2 linked regions of the Schizosaccharomyces pombe genome follow. The protein of the gene in region 1 purifies or fractionates together with the protein of each later gene. This does not show direct contact. Each region holds a gene or a part of one and is shown in the gene's direction. Other genes may lie near its edges.

Evidence for each region. The genes of interacting proteins can lie anywhere in the genome.
Region 2: the proteins of gmf1 (region 1) and arc2 purify together in Schizosaccharomyces pombe (affinity purification with western blotting, with the first as the bait; one study listed by BioGRID). This does not show direct contact.

What each region holds. Positions count from the first base shown.
Region 1 is NC_003424.3:2,023,579-2,026,804, forward strand, and holds gmf1 (actin regulatory protein gmf1), read left to right. Parts: upstream 1-1,672; 5' UTR 1,673-1,756; coding exon 1,757-2,182; 3' UTR 2,183-2,474; downstream 2,475-3,226. Other genes in the region: protein Ddb1, read right to left, coding at 1-864; cytochrome c-heme-linkage protein Cyc2, read right to left, coding at 2,585-3,226.
Region 2 is NC_003424.3:2,749,224-2,752,750, reverse strand, and holds arc2 (ARP2/3 actin-organizing complex subunit Arc34), read left to right. Parts: upstream 1-1,768; 5' UTR 1,769-1,779; coding exon 1,780-1,841; intron 1,842-1,881; coding exon 1,882-2,773; 3' UTR 2,774-3,027; downstream 3,028-3,527. Other genes in the region: SPOM_SPAC6F6.11C (pyridoxine-pyridoxal-pyridoxamine kinase), read left to right, coding at 20-128, 176-364, 422-539, 599-1,079; NuA4 histone acetyltransferase complex subunit Eaf6, read right to left, coding at 3,204-3,527. UniProt on the Schizosaccharomyces pombe protein: Functions as actin-binding component of the Arp2/3 complex which is involved in regulation of actin polymerization and together with an activating nucleation-promoting factor (NPF) mediates the formation of branched actin networks.

The sequences.
Region 1 (3,226 bases):
CAACATACCCGACTCATCCGCTACAATATAAATACTAGAATCGAGGCCAGTCTCGGGATCATTAGAAATGGAAGGAGAGAACGCAGTGATCGGGTATGTTAAAAGAAGTTTCGAAACCTGAATATCTTTACTTATATAGTATACATACATCTCCCCGAACACAAAAACACCACCATTCTCACTAGGTATCAATTTACCTTCCTCAATGTCATGACAAACAACATCATCCTCGTCGATTTCTTGTTCACGAACGTTTATTTTGTACGTAGAAAGATGCACAATCGACTTGCTATCCTTGTAGAGAACTGCTAAAGATGGACGGGATGAGTTATAAAGCATGGCTATGTCGACAACATTTAACTCTTGAATCCGCACACTAAAATTATCATGCAATGAAGGATTGTTATGAGAAGTCATAAATCGTTTTTTTGACTTAAAAATTGGGATAATAGTCAGTAAACCCTGATATACATGTAAACAAATAACCCGTTGAAATGGATCCACTAACAGCAAAGGTCCAGATTGACTTTCCCGAAGAGACCTTTCACTGCAATCCTGTATCTTTATTCCATTAGAAACAGTGTTATCATTGGCATCCCAAAAAAGTGTAAAATAACGAAAGGAATCTGTTGCAACGATTATATGATCTGTCGGGGATGAAACAGGCTTAAAAGCTTTTACATTCACAATTTTCGCAAAAATATTAGCAGAAGTTATTAAACATAATCGATTATTTTCATAGCTATAGACTTCCAAACAATTTACTTTAGCCACTATTACGTTCCAGGAGGATGCATTGACAAATTTACAAAACACGGCGTTTCTTATAGAAGAAGGCTTGTGCAAATAAGTAACATAAGTCATTTCTTACAAGGGCAATACCAGCTTTGTAGTAAATGGCGACACTGCCTCGGCTTCTCGTTTTTAAAATATTGTCAGCATAAAGCAAAAGTAAAAGGGCTTCAAATTGCTGTACAAATTATCCTATATATTTTAAGTTTGGATTTTGGAAGACGTTAAGATTATCGAACAACGATGTTGATGGTTTTTGGGACTTTTTCTAAATGCCAAGTGGGTGAAGTGGGAAACCCAGATTTACTACTCCAGACATAGCATGGTGCGGTGTAGTATGTGCTTTTTGCAAGAAAATAAACTTTTACACCTAAGCCTATTATAGAGTAAAGTTTACATAAGTACTTAAATTTAAGTGTTTGATTTATTACCGCTCGACTTCGAGCTGCTAAAGTAATACATTTTTATCGCTTCGTCGTAAAGTATTATTAGCTAGTCCCGATGACCAAAGACTTTATGAATGTTATTAAAAAAGTGATTGCATTAACAGGATATTCTTAGGAATATTAAAAAAAAACATTAGTTCGTTCAATCTTAGGTATTATATAATATTTATCCTTAAGTATCCTCTTTTTTTTTTTTTTTTTTTTTTTTTTATTTATCAAGTTGTAAATATAACACAATGCTTAAATTTGCCAATTTACGAACTTCAAAGATATCACATACGTGGATATAGACTTTTTGAATATAATAAAATTGATGAATAATTTGTATTTAAAAAATCAATAATTATCTATCAAAACTCAAAAATAAATTTTTAACTCCTAGCATGAATTTAAATATCTTTTAGGATTCTGCACGAACGGTATTAATTCAACCCAACAAAAGCACCACCCTCGAAATTAAATTTCCTTAATTGGCTATTGCTGTGGTTTTACATAAATATTATAAACTAACAAGAAAGATGTCATCAGAGGCTCGTATGTTCACCATTTCGGATACCACGATGAAAGAAATTGATCGATTTCGTTTGCGGTTGAAGAAATCAGTTATGTATGCTTTCATTCTCAAGGTTGATAAAGCTACTAAGGAGATTGTTCCCGATGGAGAAATCATGGATTTACAGAGTATTGAAGAGGTCGCAGATGAACTCTCGGAAACAAATCCTAGATTTATCCTTGTTTCCTATCCTACCAAAACCACAGATGGTCGACTTAGTACTCCATTGTTTATGATATACTGGAGACCAAGTGCTACCCCAAATGACTTATCTATGATTTATGCTTCTGCTAAAGTCTGGTTTCAAGATGTGTCGCAGGTGCACAAAGTATTTGAAGCTAGAGATTCTGAAGATATTACTAGTGAAGCAGTTGATGAGTTTTTGCATTAATGCTTGTTTATATGCGAGTTGAAAATGAACCTTTCCCTCGTTCACATTTTATGCAATTAATTATTTAAAGATATTTTGCTTGTATGGGCTTTCTTTTTGACATACTATACCTGCTTAGCAGCAGATGCATAAACCCTCAATAACAATTAGATTTAATGGATAAAAATTTATACACTTAGAAACTTTTTAAATACTATTTTTTTTATTTTCTCTCCATTACCTAAGAAAACCGCTCCATTTCATTGATAACACGTAACGTTTAAGAGTTCCCTTATTTGTATAAATTTATTTCCAAATCGGTAAAAATAAATTATTTGAAGATAAACAAAAAAATCGTTTTTGTATTATGCACAATTGTCCAAAGATCGTGCAACCCAAAATCTTAAGCCAAAAATTTCTAAACTAAAGCTTCCAAACTTTCCCAAACGGATTGTTTGATAAAAGTCCTTTGACTTCTCCTTGTCTTGCGCCATAATCAGCCTTCGGTCCGGCAATTGTAGAAACAAACTTCTGGCTACCGCAGACAATGCAAAGGGTATCCTTTAAAGGAACTGTAACATTATCCCAATCCAAAATGTCATGAATGTTTACCAAACGATTTTGGACGGACTTCACCCTTACGTTTGGGCATTCCTTTTCCAATTCTTCTTTTAGCAAAGGGGGCTGACCAGGCCTTGAGCAGTATACAATATCGACTGGGGATTTAACAGACTGAGCTAATTGATATATAGGAGCAATTCCTGTTCCTGCAACGATAGCTACGATTCTTGGGTACTTCGTACAATCGAGTTTGGTGGTTTTAAAAGGACCCCGAAGTTCAATAGTGTCCCCTTCTTTCTTAGAATGAATATAAGAACTAACGGGACCCTCTTCATACTTTCTAATAAAGAACTTTAATTCATTGGCATCCAAGTACAAAGGGGTATATGGTCTCTGGACTTGCATACTGGGATCACGAATTGTTACCTTAGCAATCGGTTCCAAAGTAGTAAGGTGTTCAGAAGGGCTCTGAGGAACTAACGAAAACAAGCTAGCATCGGATGT
Region 2 (3,527 bases), 730 kb from region 1:
GAAACTAACAACATTATAGTCTTCTGTTTGTCATGGATATGTAGGAAATCGTGCTGCTACATTTCCACTTCAGCTTTTAGGTTGGGACGTAGATGCAATTCCAACTGTAGAGCTTTCAAATCATGCAGGTAAATTATTTAATTTCTTATTTTATATTTTATTAACGTATTTCAAGGGTATCCCATTGTTAAAGGAAGGACCTTAAGCGCAGAACAAATTCTGGATTTGTATAAGGGTGTTTCAGCAGCTAATCCCAGTGGCTATGAATGTTTGTTGACAGGATATGCCCGTGGAATAGGAAGTGTAAAAGCAATAATGGAGATAGTTCGCTCCGTAAAATCCAAGAATAAGAAGGCTTTTTGGGGTATGTGCGTTAGAAGTTGCCAATTCCCTTGAAGACTGACATGCTGACGCTAAAAAGTTTTTGATCCAGTTTTGGGAGATAATGGAAGGCTTTATGTCGAAGAAAGCATTATCCCGCTGTATAGAGAGATGCTCCCTTTTGCTGATTTAATTACACCTAATGGGTTTGAAGCAGAGTGAGTACTTTTAAGGAACAATCCTGCAATGAGTTTGAAAATCACTGACTTTTACTTAGAATTCTTTCAGGGATGCGCATAAATTCAATCGACACAGCATTTAAATGTGTGGAATGTCTACAACAAAAATATAAAGTTCCACGGGTTGTCATTTCATCTTTTGTCGTTGAAGAAAACGGCGTAGAAAAACTCTACTGTATAGGATCTTCTATATATTCCAAAAGTTTTTTTGTTCTGATTCCCGTGATTCCTGGGATATTTCGGGGAACTGGTGATCTATTTACAGCACTAATGGCAGCTCATATTGCTGAGAGCCCGGATTGTACTGAGAGCCTTGCCTCTATAAAGGAGGATAAACTTAAGAAATCAGTAGAAATGGCCCTTAGTTCTGTGCATGAAGTGATCCAAAAAACTGCCGACCGAATTTCTGCATTAGGTGTTGAAGAATATCACCCAGCTTATGCCGAACTCTGCATAGTTAATAGTCAAAATAGCATAATAGCTCCATCCAAATTATTCGAAGCAGTATACTATTATTAAATTTCGGATCTTTTATGCGTCTAAAATATGTTGGCCTTACTGTACCAAGGCCTGCTGTTTCAAAGTTGATTTTTTACTATCCGTTTTTCGCTTTCTTTTTTTGGATTGCACGTGAAATTCACAAAATATAGATTTTTTCAGTGTCTTGTTTCGTTTGCCTTTTTTACATGCTAACTTGGTGTTTGTTTTTCTCTTAAATAAAGGTTCATTACGATACCTCTCTTTTGCGAAGTATACAATGTTTTATATTAGAATGCTTATTGAAATTAATTTAGAAGTTTATAACTATTTATTCCATATCCTAAAGACTGTTGACTGGTTTCAAAATTTCGCAACCAAGGTTTATAAAAGCCATGTATTGGTACACTTCGAATTAGATAAAGTAATTAGATTCAGAACTCCTAATATACTGATTAATTTTTTTTTTTTTTTTTTAATTTCTAACATTTTAGATAAAATATTCAGTATATCCATAGACGGTAAAATAGTAGAAGTTTACCTAAGAAGCAAAAGGTAATCTAGAACAAAGAATGAGAACAAAAAGATTGTTAGTTCTTTAAAAATATATATTGAGTTCATGGTTTTAATATGATCTGTTGTTTTCTTACATGTTTGCAGATGCCTCAGTATAAGGATTTATAACACTATATGAACCTGAGTAATAAGAATTCCCGGGTCCGTCACACGTTAACCATCAACCATGCTCTCATTAGATTATAACAATATATTCATTTACGAGTTACTGACAGAAAGGTTTTCAAGGTATGTGAAACAAACAATAAAGAATTTCACTAATTTATAGCGAAAACCCGTCGTCGATTGATCAAGTGGTAACTGATTTTGATGGCGTCACGTTCCACATTTCAACTCCTGAGGAAAAGACGAAAATCTTGATCAGTCTGTCTATGAAATGCTATCCTGAGCTTGTTAATTACGGTACTCTGGATTTACTGAAACAGATTTACGGTGCTTATGTGCATGAACCTGAAATGGGATACAACTTCAGTATTCTTATAGACTTACAACAACTTCCCGCTACCGATGAGGAAAAAGAACAATTAGCTATGTCTATTTCTATGTTAAAAAGAAACGTTTTAGCTGCTCCCTTCCACCGTGCATTCACCAAACAAGCCGAACTAGCTGATTTGGCTCGTAAAGACCCGGAAAATGCCCCTATGCTTGACAAGCAAGCCACTTCTCAGGAGCTCATGGCAATTCATTATCGTGATGAAGAAACTATTGTTTTATGGCCTGAGCATGATCGCGTTACAGTCGTCTTTTCAACGAAATTCCGTGAAGAGACTGATCGCATCTTTGGCAAGGTATTCTTGCAGGAATTCGTTGATGCCCGTCGCCGTCCGGCTATTCAAACCGCTCCTCAAGTGCTCTTTTCCTATAGAGATCCACCTTTGGAGATTCGTGATATTCAGGGTATTCAAAAGGGTGATGACTTTGGATTTGTAACATTCGTTTTATTTGAGCGTCATTTTACACCTCAAAATCGTGAAGATTGCATATCTCATATCCAGGTTTTCCGCAACACCCTACACTTTCACATTAAGGCTTCCAAGGCTTACATGCACCAACGTATGCGTAAGCGTGTTGCTGACTTCCAAAAGGTTTTGAACCGGGCCAAGCCCGATGTGGAATTGGAGAGAAAGACAGCTACTGGTAGGTCATTTGTTCGTGCTTAATGTTCCGTCCCATGTTGATCCTTTCTTTCATCGTATCTTCATACGTAGTTATGATCTTTATATATGCTTCATGCTTCCCTCTCCTCGTAACAAACGTGAATTGTTTCTCACCCTTTTTTTCTATTCAAAGCTGGGTTGATTAAATGATGCTAGCGCAAAATACAGGAATATCAATCTTTGATTGTAGATACACACGTTACATAAGAGATGCTTATTTTTTGAAAATGAAAATTGTATTATACAAGTCATAAATAGTAACTGTTCTAAAGGACAAACTTTGAATAGCTAGTTAAGCCGTAATTTTGTAGCGCTATTGCAAAATACTTAGAAGAAGGAGAAAATAATCGCAAATTGATTTGTAAAAGCTCCGAAAAAGGAACTTCCTCATAAAATTTAAAGTATATTCTTTATATCCGTTTTCTGAGTAACATTATAGTTCTCGAAAAGAAGAACGTCTTCTTCCTTCGTGACTATCAGATTCATTTTTTCGTTTTCTTCTTCGACTAGTTTCTGTCGAGTCGTCGAGGTCATAAGCTGGACTACGTGTATGGGGACTCGACAGGGAAGAAAGAGAAAACAGTCTGTCTGATTCCGAATAGTCTGCACGACGGCGGAGGTTTGATGCATTGTTTTTTAAAAGACCTTCGAATCCACGAATAATGTTGCCAGTACCCGATGTTTTTTCTAAGTAACTGCCTTCCAGCCTATAGATAGAGTCCTCGAGACCTATTAACGAAGTTTCCAACAATTGTCG